2 linked regions of the Diceros bicornis minor genome follow. The protein of the gene in region 1 purifies or fractionates together with the protein of each later gene. This does not show direct contact. Links are inferred from orthologs where the notes say so. Each region holds a gene or a part of one and is shown on either strand. Other genes may lie near its edges.

Region 1 (7,328 bases):
GGTTCCTGCCCACCTTCCTCAGTTACAATTGCAGTAACTTTGGCAAAGATGCTTTTCTCCACAAAGAAGTCTTCACCTCATCATACAGTCTTTCCATCTCAGTCATTTTCTTCTGGACCTTGCTGATGCCCTTACCTTCGCATAACCAAAAAAAAAAGATTTTTCCTTCTGAAATAAGAACTCTGCTGCCACTCCTAGAACGTGGAACAGCTTTAGTTTTAAAAATAGTACACTTTATCTTTTTTTGTTTGGTCCTGGCCACCCTCGGAAACATTTCCTCTGTCTGGAATTCTCTCCATCCACGCAGGGCTTCAACTATTAACTCCGGCTTATCTTTCAAAACTCTTTCAAGATTGGCCTCTTCTGGGAAGCTTTCTCTGACCCCCTCCTCACCCCATCCTGATTTAGCTGTCCCTCCTCAGGGCCTGGGGCCTGCTGTCCTCAGAGCACGGCCATACAGCTCCAGACAACCCACAGTCCACGGGCCCTCTCCCTCACTGGATTCTAAGCTCCTCCAGGGAAGGAGTCCTGTCTTCTCTGACCTGTGCCTAGACCCCAGCATAGTGCTGGTATACAGTAGGTGTTCAATACATGTTCAATAAACGCATAAATATCCTTCTCATGCTTATTCCACAACTTTATTTCAACCTCTCACCACCTCACACCACACTGCTACAGAGTTCTGGACACACTTTGTCATTCCTGGTTTCAACTCTACAAAAATGATTTTATTGGTTTTGAAAAGTAATTATAAAATAAATATATTGTATATGTAATACAAAAGTTCAAACGATACAAAAAATCAGAAAGAACTAAGAACTACGTGAAATCTCACTATCTAGACATAAGCAACTCCAACAATTGACTGAATATTCTTCCACTTTTCTGTGTGTATATGTTGAAGTTGCAGATGCCTCTTTGGCATAAGGATTATTTTGAGCCAATTATTTTGGAGAAACTGCAGGTGCAGAAGAAGCTCTGAAAACAGAGTAGTTTACCCTTTTGTTAACGGAAATCTCCATTTGTAAGGGTGTCTTACTCTCCTTACCAGGAAGAAGAGGATGCTTCTAAATCACCAGAAACTCTTATCAATGGGGAAAGCAACGACTGAAATCTGCATGAGAACCTTACCCTTGTTTACTGTGTTTATCCCGATAGCATCCCTTAACTGGCCTCCCCTCACTTCGGTGGCTTGGGTGGTCTTCTGGAGGTTACCAAGTTTTCCTGGGTGTCTGCCGTGTGTACCTGAGGTACACGTGTTAATAAATTTGTATTTCTTTTTCTCCTTTATCTGTCTTTTATTATTGATATTCTCAGCCAAGAACTCAGAAGGGCAGAGGGAAAATTATTTTCCTCCCATACAGTGTGTGTGTGTGTGCGTGTGTATTTCACATACACATATGTATACACTCATACACAAACACACACATAAATGAATAGTTTTACAAATATGGGATCACATTACACTCTCTCAATAATGTGTCTTGGATATATTTGATGTCAGTAATTATAATCACATTATTATTTTTACGGCCTGCATGGTATTTCCTGGTAAGGAGGAACTGATTATCTGTAAAGTTGTGGTCAGTAACCTCACATGTACCTTTTTTTTCTTTCTTGTCCCTGCATTTATCGCCTTAGGGCAAATTTCTACAAACATTATCCTTGGATCAAAGGTCAACTTTAGTTTAATAAAATTCGCCATTCAGGAGCTTCTCCTGAGGATCCTGGACTCATGGATGGGCCTGGCAGGGTGTGTGTGTGTGCATGTGTGCCTGTGTCTACAGATTCCCTCATATCACTTGCACACTTTGCTGGGGAGAAGCTGGTACCTTTTATCAATTTTTCAAAGAGGCTGTGACACAGAAGAGCCATTATTTACTGAGTATTTCTGACTGCCAGGCACTGAGGTGAGCACATACAATTAACCTTCCCAGCAAGCTTATCATCCCCATTTTACAGATGAGAAAACTAAGTCACGGAGTCTCCCTACTCTTCTACCCATTCTGCAAGTCACACATTTGTCAGTGCTTGGCTTCTCTTTCTACCAGATGATGAGTTAAGCCCTTGGCCTCCACACAGGCTCAAATACTTCTCCATCTTTATTTCCATTGTCAGGATTTAAAACCTGTGCTATCGTCAAACTGATGCACTCACTCTCCCTAGGCTGACTTTGTGCTCTGGCACATTGCCTCTTTAATTCTCTGCAAACGCCTTTCACCCCAATTTAAATCCTTGCTGTTCCATTTTGAAGTGATCATCCTCTGAACTACAGTTTCCAGTAGCACCACCACCATCTGGGCTAACATTAACTTTGGAATAAATCCTTAATCTTATCTTGAAAGATCTTCTTTTTTTTTTTTTTTTTAAAGATTTTATTTATTTATTTTTTTCCCCCAAAGCCCCAGCAGATAGTTGTAAGTCATAGCTGCACATCCCTCCAGTTGCTGCATGTGGGACGCGGCCTCAGCACGGCCTGAGAAGCGGTGTGTTGGTGCGTGCCCGGGATCCGAACCTGGGGCCGCCAGAAGCGGAGCGCGTGCACTTAACCGCTAAGCCATCGCACCGGCCCTTGAAAGATCTTCTGTTCTTCCACAAAGAGCTCCTTGAATATTGCCACTTCAACTAACTTTCAGGGTGTTTATTCCTGTTCTCCCAGAATACCGCGTGGATTCCATCAGGGCTGGCGCCTTGTTTTCTACTAGCTGGTTTTTCTCATGATACAGCTCACTGCATTGACAGATGCTGTAATAAATTTTTTTTTTTTTTTGGAGGGAGAAAGAAAAAGTTATTTGTGGCTAGCCTACCACTTACTATTTAAAATTCATGTCTCTGCGCTGTCGGCATTTTGAGATTAGCTCACACTTGCTGTAGGGACTTATTTAAATGTGAAAAGTCACATGATAGTACTGTCAACACTGGAAGGGAAATAAAACCCCATCGACCTGCTGGCAGATGCCGTTACACGTGACAGCGCCAAACTCGCATACACCTGAAGGAAATTCCAGTCTCTGCTGAGATTATTTTAGGTTTTATCATGAGATGTCCATAGTAAAACCAAATATGGTGTTATTCCTTCCTTTTGACCAGGCATTTACATAACCTACTACAAAAAAGAAGAGAGAATTGACTCAGATTAAAAAAATTATTTTTTTCTGTTGCTAATTGGTCATCTGCTAAAAACTACAAGCTGTTAAGTAATACAATGAGGGTTTAAGAAACACAAGAAATGCACATACACAATATAAAGCCATCCTTTGTTCTGAAGTAGGAAAAACTAGAACCATGGCTATTAAGCCTTCCAGACGCCCACAATGAAGGTTATGAATCCGCTACCATACAGCAGCAGCGTTTAACACGTGTCCTCCTTCTACCCAAGTCTCCCAAGGGCTGAGGAGCAAGAACTGAGGCCTTGGTGGAGGGCTGAGAGGGCGCCCGGGGACAGCACCACGGCGGAGGCGCTCAGCGTGCGCGGGCACCTTCATTCTCAGGACCCGGGAGGGGAGAGGACAGACCCGCAGGGACACGTGCGGGGCCACCACCCGGGGACAGCACCGGGGCGGGGGCGCTCAGCGTGCGCGGGCACCTTCATTCTCAGGACCCGGGAGGGGAGAGGACAGACCCGCAGGGACACGTGCGGGGCCACCACCCGGGGACAACGGCGCCCGGGGACAGCACCGGGGCGGGGGCGCTCAGCGTGTGCGGGCACCTTCATTCTCAGGACCCGGGAGGGGAGAGGACAGACCCGCAGGGACACGTGCGGGGCCACCACCCGGGGACAACGGCGCCCGGGGTCAGCACTGAGATCCCGGCGGGCCAGGACCCCTCAGCACGAGGCCACAGCGCGCGAACCCCAAAACCGGTCTCGGGTTCCGATCCGACCAGCACTGCCTGACGCTCCGGCGTTCCGTCGTCGGGGCCTCGGTGACGGAGAAGCCGGGGACGGAGGCGGCACCCGGACCTCGGGTGAGCCCGGGACCGCGCCCCTACCCGCCCGAGTCCCGCCTCCCCGTGGGGCACGTCCGGGTGCACAGCGGGCACAGTTCCCACGGAACCAGCCGCGTCGGCACGCGCGTCGGCCCAACAGCCCGAAGCTTCGGGAAGGCGGGGCGGGGCGCGCGAGGCGCATGCGCGGCGTCAGGACGGGGCGGAAGTGGATGTCGCCGCGTGACGCACTTCCTGTTTGTTGTTGGAGAAAGGAGAGAAAGGAAAGCGCGAGGTGCCGCCGTCACCGTCAGCAGCGCCGTCGTGCCGGAGCCGAGGGAGACCGGGCCCCTTCCCGCCGCGCCGTCCCGCCGCCGGCCCCGCGTCCTCGGTGAGGGCCGCCCGCGCGGGGCAGGGGGCGGGCCGCGGACCTGACCCGGGCTTGGCAACGCGTGCGGTCGCCGGGCCGCGCCGGCCGGGGGTCGGGTGGGGGTCAGGCCGGAGGCGGAGGCCGGAGGTCGCGGGCCGCGGGCCTGGGGTGGGATCGGGGCCTGGGGTGGGGCCGGGGATCGGCGTGGGGGTCAGGCCGGGGTCGCGGCCGGGCACGGGTGTAGGGTCGATGCCGAGGGCCAGGGGTGGGGTTCGGGACCGGGGTCCAGACTTGCCGCGTCCCCGCGCCGGCGGTTGGGGGTGGGGCCGTGCGGGCGGCGGTCTGGGGGCCTCTCCTGCCCTGTCCGCCCGGGGCCGAGGCCGGCCCGTCTCGCTCGGCAGCGCAGGCCCGCAGCGGGAGAGGCTTGCTTTTTCTCGAAGGCCCCGCGTAGTTGACCCTGAAGCCAGCGCGAGGTGGGTTTACAGAAGGAAGGAGCCGGGGGAGGCGGCGTCCCCACACGGAGACGGGGACGCGGGCGTGGGGCCGGGTTGCCAGAGCTCCCCGCTGAGTTGTCGGAAGTTTGTTGATTAGCAAAATGCCTGATTTTCAACTCGCTACTTAAGCCAGTTTGCTTCGTTTTAGTTCAGCGTGTAACGCGGTTTATGTAAGTCAAGTTTATATCAGCTTTTGCCCGAGTAAGGAAAGAATGGACGCAAGAAGCGTACTTTGCAAACCTTGTGTCGTCTGGAAAAAGGTTTTCCCAGGTGGGACGGGTTGTGGTCAGGGACGTGAACTTCGGTGCTGCCCTGCTCCCGTGAGCTGCGGAACGGAAGTGCCCGCTGTGGAGACGGCCCCCCGGGGGCTCCCTAGGAAGAGTGGGCTGAGCGGCGCTCCTGGTATTTTTCAACGTTTTTAGTTCAGTTGTGGATTCGTAGTAAGATATTATGGCTAGAATCTTTTAAGGCAACTAATTGATTTAGTAGGAAAGTTAAAAAGGAAAGAGAAACTCTTACCATTTGGACTTGTTTGCTGATTCTTCAGGTTTAGTCATTCTTTTTAATAATTACACATAACAAAAATGGTTTAGTGATATCTGAAGGAATTATGTCTTCTCTCCGCCTCTTCCCCAGTCCCCCCCGCCCCCAGGTTCTTTCGGGGAAGGTTTAATCCAGACTTTTCTTGTTTCCAGTAAGAGACTTCAGCTCCCATGGGGTTAGGACTTTTGTATTTGTAATAAAAAGGTGAGTGCTGTTTGTGCACGTTATCCAAGGAGCTGTGGGACTTTTTGGATTATGCAGAATATGAATTTGGGGAGTAAATTGGCTGGGTGTCGTAGTTTGTGGGTGTGGATGACTTGACGGGAAGTGGGAGGAGAACAAAAGGGGTTGAGAAGCTGACTTTTGAAACATGCCTAAGTGTGCTTAGTGTGGTGCTGTAGAAGATGAGAAAGTTGGGGATTTAAGACCCTTTAAAGAATTTGAGATGAGTTCAGCGTCCTCTTCAAAATATCAGTGTTTACATTTGTTTTCTTCTGGATTTGAAAGTGGAAGATTTGGGAGGTATTTCTTGCTGCAGGACAGGCTTATCTGGAGGGCTGGATGGGGAGTACTGTTTGATTAATACTCTGAAGACTAAATGACGGCTAGAGAATTCTAGTATGATATCTGCGACCGGGTGGCATACAGTAGTTTTCCTTTTTAAGCAAACCCGTTATTTTTAAGGGTAGAAGCAAGAGTAGAACTATTAACTCTATTTTGGACAGTTTCAAACAAATACAACTGTGTACTCATGGCCACCATCGACAGGTTTCAACCTAGCAAACTCAAAAACCAGTTTGGGGTGGGATAAGTTTATGTGTATTTTTTCATTTTTAAAGAGGGCACTTTAAAACTTGGTGAATTATTTTTAATTCAGCTCTTCAGAATTGCAGTGTAATCTTGACTGTGTCACCTTAGTGGTGTTTCCCGTTACCTTCCACTGGGGTGCAGTGGGCATGACTGCGTGGTGAAGGTCAGCTGCGTTGTTGGTTAATGCTGAAGGGTGGCTACACGTGGCTTCTGATGTCTCTTGGTAAGGAGTACGTGAATATAGTCAGCCTTTATATCTGTAAGTTGATATTTTAACAAGTTTTTTTTTTTTTTTTTTGGTGAGGAAGATCAGCCCTGAGCTAACATCCATGCTAATCCTCCTCTTTTTGCTGAGGAAGACCGGCTCTGAGCTAACATCTATTGCCAATTCTCCTCCTTTTTCTCCCCAAAGCCCCAGTAGATAGTTGTATGTCATAGTTGCACATTCTTCTAGTTGCTGTACGTGGGACGAGGCCTCAGCATGGCCAGAGAAGCGGTGCGTCGGTGCGCGCCCCGGATCCGAACCCGGGCTGCCAGTAGCGGAGCGCGCGCACTTAACGGCTGAGCCACGGGCCGGCCCTTAACAAGATTTTTAAAAACCTTTTTTTCTTTTGTGTGTTTTCAGTTTCTTGGAAATGATTCTAGAATTTCGGATGGTGTTGTGTGTTAAAAATCTGGTTTGGGGGGCCGGCCCTGTGGCGCAAGCGGTTAAGTGTGCTCGGTCCGCTGCTCGGTCCGCTTCGCTAGTTCGCATCCTGGACGCGCACGACGCACCGCTTGTCAGGCCATGCTGTGGTGGCGTCCCACATAAAGTGGAGGAAGATGGGCATGGATGTTAGCCCAGGGCCAGTCTTCCTCAGCAAAAAGAGGAGGATTGGCATGGATGTTAGCTCAGGGCTGATCTTCCTCACAAAAAAAAAAAAAAATCTGGTTTGGTTTAAATTTGTGCAGGACACCACCTAGCTGTGAAAGGTTGGTAACTGCAGGCTTCCTAGTGAATTGGGATGGGATGGGGCACAAATGCGTGGCTTCTCTTTGGTGGATAGAATTTGAGAGAACTTCAAACTCGGAAAAAGGGAGGTAAATGAGAAGAAAAGCCAAGTTGATAAAAATCAGAATAGTGATAGAAATGATAATATAGGAATCTAAAGACAATTTTAAAGCGTAATTGGAGAAAATGACTCACT
Region 2 (7,671 bases), on another chromosome or scaffold:
TAAGAATTTTTGTATCTTCAGCACCTACCTCCCTACTTGGTACATTGTAGAAGCTCAAACATGTTTCCTGAAATGCATAAACTGCCTTTCTACCTAAAATGCAAAGAGACACTTGTAATTTCCCTACATAAAACCTTCTGATAGCCTCCTCAGGCCTATAGGATAAAGTCCAGAAGCAAAGAGGGCCCTTCAAGGTCTGTTCCCTTTTAACCTCTGTAGCCTTATCTCTTACCACTGTTCCCTCAAAAGTTTTGCTTCAGCAGTGTTTTGTGTTTTTTTTAGTGAGGAAGATTGGCCCTGAGCTAAGGTCTGTTGCCAATCTTCCTCTTTTTGCTGAGGAAGATTCGCCCTGAGCTAACATCTGTGCCCATCCTCCTCTATTTTGTATGTGGGATGACCACAGCATGGCCTGCACCCAGGATATGAAGCTGCAAACCCCAGGCCGCTGAAGCGGAGCACGTAAATTTAACCACTACGCCACTGGGCTGGCCACTTCAGCAGTTTTTTTTTCACTCCTCATAGTTCTTCCCAAATGGGGCATACCTCTGTGCCCTTGTATTGATCCCATTTTCTGCCTGGAATGCTCTCCGGCTCTGCCTCCCCCCCCCCCCCCCCCCCCGCCCCAAATCACTCACTCCGTCTTCTGAACACTTTTGCCCTTTTAACATACATCTTTCTATTGTGGCCTTCATCACAGGATTATAATGGATTCCATTTGGGCACCCTCACTAGGCTGTGAACCCTCTTGGGCAGAGACCATGTCTTACTTGTCTTTTCATCCCCAGCACCTAGCACTATGCCGAGTGCACAGTAGGAGCTCAATAAATATTTATTGACATGAACTACCGCACAGGTGGCACAAACTTCAATCCTGCACGTCCATGTTAATCATGAGACATCCTGCCTCCTTCAGGATGTCTTCTTGAAATGATCAAAGGACAACAGGAAGTTCTTCCAACTTAAAACTCCAATGCTAATGCCAACCATTAACATTAGCATATCTACCCAGGATGGTCTAACTAACATCTAATATCTTATGGTAAAACTAGGTATGGAATTCACTTATTATTCCTGTTATTCACATCTCCTCCTATTTTAGGTGGCTAGCTTCTAAAGGTAAGACTGTCTGGGTCAGTTATCCTGTGTAGCCACGTGGTCAGGATCTTCCAGCCAGACACAGTTTCAATATATTCTCAAACCAGTACCTATATGTACTCAGTACAGTGTGGCAAGCCAAATGGTCATTTATTTCTCATTCAGTTGCCCAGGTCAAAAAAACCTTGGAGTCATTCTTGACTCTTCTCCCTGATACTGCATCCATCCATCAACAAATTCTGTTAGCTCCATCTTCAGACCATACCTAGAATCTGACCACTTCTCATCACCTCCACTGTTTCTAACCTACTCTAAGCCACCGTCATGTCTCATCTGGATTATGGCAACAGCACGCTAATAGGTCTGTTTCTGCTGTTGTCCCCAATACTCTCTTCTCCATACAACAGCCAGAGTGATCCTTTTGTAGGTCTTACAAAGTCCCACATGATCTGGTTTCCTTCTTTCTCTGACCTTGTCTTCTACTACTGCTCTTCTGTCATTCATATCAGTCTAGGCACACTGGCTTCTCTGTTGGCCCTTGAACACACTAAGCATAGTTCTGACTCAGGACCTTTGCACTTGCTATACCTCTGCCCAGAATGCTCTCACCCCAGCTATCCCTCACCTTGTTAAGGTCTCTGTTTAAATGTCACCTTATCAGTATGGCCTTCCCTAGTCACCCTAAAAAGCAACTACCACCTCCTAGCTGCTTGCCTGTTCCTCTTTCCCCCTTCTACCTCGCTTTATTTTTGTCTATATCATTACTATATCTCCAGAGCCAGGAACAGTACCCGACACATAGTAAGTACTAATTCAATAAATATTTGTTGAGTTGATGTGGATATAAAAACAAACTGAAAAGCTTATTTTTAAAAAATTCTCCTGAGTTACTCACTCTGATCTGGTGTCCACTGTACAACCCACTCATTCTACCTGAGGCACCTCCGTGCTAATTTTCAGGGTGTTTCTTCCTCCCCCAATCCATATGCACATATACATACACACATACACTCAGTCACACCCATTCACTTTGGCTCAGGTAGGAAATCCAGTCTCTTCTAACTCCCACATCACTGCCCCATCCTCACTCTGTTCCAGTATCCAACTGCCCTGGGACTGCTCCAGACCTCCCATCCAAAGAGGGCCCCTTTTCTGGCCCAGCTCTGCTCTCTCAAGGACTTCCTGACTTTGGCTCCATCAGATAGAGCAGTGAATATAGGAACCACTTTGTTTCTCTTCCTTCCCAACAATCTTTATCCTCCTTGTGTTAAGCTTCAGCCCTGGCAGGGCCCACTCTCTCTCCTACATCTTATCATCTACAGGACATTCCAGTGACTGAGGAATTTCTGTTCATCAGAGTTCATTGGACAGAGATGGGAGGGAGGGAGGGAGGGAGGGAGGGAGGAAGGAAGGAAGGAAGGAAGGAGGAAAAGAGAAAGGCAGGGAGGGAGAAAGGAAGGACAGAGATGAAAGGAAGGAAGGAAGGAGAAAGAGAAGGTGGGAGGAAGGAAAGACAAGGGAGGGCAATGGAGAAGGAAGACAGACACAAACTCTGGTTCTGGGGGAACAGAATGATTACATCCCTTCAATTCCTGGAGTAGATGGCCGCCTATATGGTAAGTCCTTGAGGACTCTGACAATGAGCTCTTGCATCTCCTCCTTCATTCCCACCTGTTCAAGGATTTCTTTTTAACCTGAGACAAAGCCCAGGTTTGGAGTTTTGTCTCAGAGTTAGAAAGCTAAGTTGTAATTTGTAAATATTCCTAGGAGAGGTAATACATTGATTTAAAATCATGCAAAGGTAAAAATGGCTGATATCAGAGTCTTAAGTTTTGGAAGAAAGAAGAGAAAGGGCTTTAGGCACCTAAAGGCAGTAGGTAGAGGATACCAGCTAATGGAAAAAGAAAAAAAGGAGGAGGCTAGAAGCTAAGTTGTATGTCCAGTTCTGTTGAAGGATGGACATGATGGAATGAGAAGAGAGAAGCTGGAACTTGAGCTTCCACTTAACAGTTAAGCCTGGGCTGTAGAACTCTCACTGGCGTAACTTGATCACATGTCAAACTGCTTTTGTTTGGGGCAAGAGAAAAAGGGGCACTTGCATGGTGGGATCTCCAGAGACAGAGCATCTGGAAGATAAATCAGAAAGACTTTACTGCGTCTTTTCCCCAAAAATATCAATGAAAAACAAATTTTCTTTTATTCTTTGTCTTTCTTTGGCTTTGCCAGTCTGCCAGTTTCTAAATTATCTGTCTCTGTTCCCCTATCTCCAAAGAAACCTGAGAAGCCCTGCTCCCACCTGAGTCACCAGAGACCCCCTCCTCCTTCTCCCCCAGGGAAGTATTGGGAACAAGTCTTTCTCATTGTAAGGCTCCACAGAACATAAATATGGCTAGCAGCCAGAGTAAAGAACCAGAGAGAGCTAAAGGTTGGATGAGTCTGGTTTAAAGTCCATCTTAGTCCAAATCCCCTGACACCCAGGAGGAAGGCCCTTCTCTCCAGCTGGGCCAGATTTTATGCAAGACATTTAGTATGTCAAAGTATCAGTCTTTGGCCTTGGAGTCAGGTCTCCTGGGTCTGTTTTCACCTCCGCCCCTGGGTGATACGGGTTAATGGAGCTCTCCACCCTTTCTTCTTCTCTCAAACTTCAGACCCTTGACCTACCTACCTGACTAGAGGCAAGTAAGATCAGCGCAGGACTGGGAGCTCTTGAGGACACAGGAGTTAGAGAAAATAAAGGGGAGACTGGCACTAAACTAAAGGATTTCAGAACTAGAGCCTTTCCCCTGGCCGACCCTTCACAGCAGGGTAACTGAGGGTTCCAGGAGCCTCTCCCAAGCCAGTTCCCAAGGGGCTAGAGTTCCAGCCTGGCCGAAGAGCGCCATCTGGCGGCCAGTACCCCCCCCCCCCCCCCACTGGATTCTCCTTGCCCTATCCCGAGTTCTCGCAGCCAGAGCTAGACCTGGGCAGAACTGTCACCTCCTCCTCTACGTCACTCCGAGGACCCCGCCCTGCCTAGAATGCACCTCCCCCGCAAAATTGCCGCCCTTCCTCCTCCCCGGGCTGAGCGCTTCTCCGGTAGAAAATCTGCTTTAAGCTCCCCGTAGGGATCCGCCCCACTTCCTCGCCCACAGGGAGCCCGCCCCTCCCCCATGGGAATCTGCCCCGGGTCCTCTTCCTTCCCCCAAGGGAACGTGCCGCACCGCCCTCCCTCCTCCCCCGCCCCGGCCCGCCCGAGGAGTCCACGCCTCTGCTCCTCCCCCACACCCTTACAGGGAGCCTCTTCCTGTCCACAGAACCCAAATCCAGGTTACTAACGAGGCTTCCCCTCCCCTCGTCTCCAGCGAACCCCGCGGCCCCGGATCAGCGGCCCCGCGCCCCGGGAGCGCGCCCTCGCCTTCTCCCCACGCCCACCAGGAGGCGGAGCTCCGCGGCCCGGCCCCCCCCGGGGGGGGGGGCTGTCCCATCGTGACGTCACTTCCGTCCGGGCCTGGCCGTGCTTCGGGCTCCGTGGGCCGAGGGGGGGGACGGAGGTGGCAGCTGTGGGAGGAGGCGGCGCGGGAGGCCGAGGAGCTCACGACAGGACCAATCCGGCGTACCGGGCCGCAGCCCTCCGATCCTGCAGTGCACCGAGAGGCGAGACCAGCCGGATGGGCCGCTGAGCCCGAATCGGGGACCGGTGAGCCTGGAGCAGAGCGGGCAGCCGGGTCCGGACGGGAGCGGGCCTGCAGGGCTGCAGGGTCTGGGAGCCCGGGATGCCGGGAGGGGAGAGGGTCAGGCCTGCCTCTCCTGTGCGCCCGGCGAAGGCAGGGGTCGGGGGAGCCGCCGGCAGGCGCGGTGGGGATAGTGAGGCCCGCCCGGGGGAGGCCTGGGAGCGGCTGGTGTAAGGAGGGGGCGGGGTGGTTGGGGTCATTAATGGGGCGGAGGGCCAGCATTGGGGATTCGCATCCGGAGCAGTGGCGTCAGGGGAGGGGCAGTATGCTTCTGGCCTAGGGCTTCGGGAAGAGGATGGCTCTGAGTGGGGAGGCAGAAAACTGAGAGGCTTGAAAAAATTTTCCATGGCCCTCCTTGAGAGAGGGATTTGAAGAGCTCTTCTCTCCCTAGAGGGTGGTGGTGAACACCTGGAGAAGGGTCTTACTGGAGTTTAGGGGGTCAGTTACAGTATAGGGAAGGGACAGTGTTCTGAGAGTCCCTACTCTGAGCCGGTGTGCAAAAAGCCTGGCCGCCTCCAAGTATTTGAGCCTTCACATCTTTACAGTGTGGAGCCCCCTGGAGCTAAAATCAGGATGTTCCGCTTCATGAGGGACGTGGAGCCTGAGGATCCCATGTTCCTGATGTAAGTACTCCCCCCCTCATGCTCTAGAGCACTCATCCCACTCCACTTCAGGGCTCTGAGTAATTCAGACAGACATCTGGGTTCCCATTGCTGGCCCTGATTGGAACTGGCTGGATACTCAGCTCCAGCCCGGACTTAAAGAGGATACAGACATCTGTGCCATTGTTTCTCTACTACTGTTTTCTTTTTTGGGGGTGAGCGGGGTGTTGATTACTTGGTCCTTCTACCATCCATACTGTATACTCACTCCACAGGGACCCCTTTGCTATTCACCGTCAGCATATGAACCGCATGTTGTCAGGTGGCTTTGGATATAGCCCCTTCCTCAGCATCACAGATGGCAACATGCCAGGGACCAGGCCTACCAGCCGCAGGATGCAGGTAATGGTGCTGCGATATGCCTGAGACCCAAAGACAGGCTGGAGGGTGGTTAATAAAGCGCTTGATTTGTCTTGTACTGCAGCCAACTTAGCAAGTGGAATGATCTTCTAGAAGTGGGGAAAGGGTCTGGGAAAAGGGCTTTGTGAGAGGAGGACAGAAAGACAGCTGAAGCCGTGGGCTTGGTTTGGGACTGTAATAAGATAGGATGAGGTCTCTAATTCCTGTTCCTTACCTGTTCCTGTAGGCTGGGGCTGTCTCCCCCTTTGGGATGCTGGGAATGGTGAGTCCTCATCTCCTCATATCTTTCCATCTCAGACATACTCTATACCCTTAGATGTTATTTCCAAATGTGCCTCTCTGAAATAGCCTTGTGGGTAACCCTAGAATCTTTTTATAGTGTTCACAGAGCTCTGGGCCTGCTGGGTGCTAAGACCTGTGAGTTAAAGATGCTAACTTATTGACTCTTATACTTCTAGGAACCATATCCATTAGGAAAATGTAATTGTCTAGCAAAGTTTGTTCTTTTGAGGAGGGAGGTGAAGTTGAAGGGCCAACTTGAGATGATTTTTAGAAGTCTTTTTTTTTTACAATTTCATGCCTTTATAGGTTAGAATCCATTAACTTTGGCTTGCTTCCTAAAGATAGGGGGAAATAGGGCAGTCAGGAGAAGGGAAATTGGATCCGAGCAGCCGCAAAGACTGAGGAGGAGGGCGGCAGTATGGAGAAGAGAAACATGCAGATAAGCATGCAGTGTTCTGGTCATGTTCTCCAAGAATGAGAAAGAGCAGTTGCTAGATGTAAAGGAAGAAGAGAAAGGGAATATGCAGCCACGTAGCTAGTGGGTCCCTGAACAAGATAAGCTGAACGCTGACTTTGCTTTCCTGACTGTTCTCCATCTCTCTCTCTAGTCAGGTGGCTTCATGGACATGTTTGGGATGATGAACGACATGATTGGGAACATGGTGAGACTCTTGCCCCATACCTTTTCCAGGCCCTGCTCTCAGCTCTGGCCGGCAACACCTTGAGTCCTCTGAGGCAGGAGAGGGAAAGAGTGTGCTAGTGAAGGGTTCAAGCGGGGTAAAGGAATTGAACCCAGAGAGCACTGGGTTCCTGTATGTGCTCTCGTGCCTGAGTGAAGCAGCAGCAGCACTCTTATTAAGTATGCAGTTAAGGCTCAATCTCTTAAGATCCTTCTTGTTTATTGTGGACTCAGAGGTATTTGGGGGTAATGATGAGTCTTGATGTTTTCTCAGTTCTCAAATTTTGTGAGAAAGATACGGGCAAGAATAGGCAGCTGAAGTGTGGGGTCCCTTCTCCAGAGGGGAACCCCTCCCCATTCAGTCCTGCTGTACCCTTTCCTCCCCAGGAACACATGACGGCTGGAGGCAACTGCCAGACCTTTTCATCCTCCACTGTCATCTCCTACTCCAATACTGGTGATGGTGCCCCCAAGGTCTACCAAGAGACATCAGAGATGCGCTCAGCACCAGGCGGGGTGAGTGGAAGGGCTTCTAGGCCAGAGAAGGTGGGGTTGAACAGCACCCACAGAAACCCTGGCTTTGTTTTTCAGGATTGGGTTGTGGGTGGTTTGTCTGTCCTGGGCTGGCACAGCCAGGGCTTTGGAAGGGGCAGCTGAGTGTGCTGTGTTCTGCCTCACCTCAGATCCGGGAGACTCGGAGGACTGTTCGGGACTCAGACAGCGGACTAGAGCAGATGTCCATTGGGCATCACATCCGAGACCGAGCTCACATCCTCCAGCGCTCGCGAAACCACCGCACAGGGGACCAGGAGGAGCGGCAGGACTATATCAACCTGGATGAGAGTGAGCCTCCTTCCCGCTCATCACCCTTCTGGCTTCTTGG

Evidence for each region. Proteins that work in one complex are often made in the same cells at the same time.
Region 2: the proteins of DNAJB6 (region 1) and MLF2 purify together in Homo sapiens (affinity purification with mass spectrometry; 3 studies listed by BioGRID and IntAct, with this or other methods). This does not show direct contact. The link is inferred for Diceros bicornis minor from reciprocal best matches to the Homo sapiens genes DNAJB6 and MLF2.

What each region holds. Positions count from the first base shown.
Region 1 is NC_080742.1:101,824,825-101,832,152, forward strand, and holds the start of DNAJB6 (dnaJ homolog subfamily B member 6), read left to right. Parts: upstream 1-4,296; 5' UTR 4,297-4,315; intron 4,316-4,591; exon of another isoform or gene 4,592-4,607; intron 4,608-7,328. UniProt on the Homo sapiens protein: Has a stimulatory effect on the ATPase activity of HSP70 in a dose-dependent and time-dependent manner and hence acts as a co-chaperone of HSP70. Plays an indispensable role in the organization of KRT8/KRT18 filaments.
Region 2 is NC_080756.1:54,978,913-54,986,583, forward strand, and holds the start of MLF2 (myeloid leukemia factor 2), read left to right. Parts: upstream 1-4,632; 5' UTR 4,633-4,722; coding exon of another isoform or gene 4,723-5,005; intron 5,006-5,350; 5' UTR 5,351-5,378; coding exon 5,379-5,428; intron 5,429-5,682; coding exon 5,683-5,809; intron 5,810-6,053; coding exon 6,054-6,089; intron 6,090-6,717; coding exon 6,718-6,771; intron 6,772-7,175; coding exon 7,176-7,304; intron 7,305-7,471; coding exon 7,472-7,631; intron 7,632-7,671. Other genes in the region: PTMS (parathymosin), read right to left, coding at 4,442-4,632, 4,723-5,005.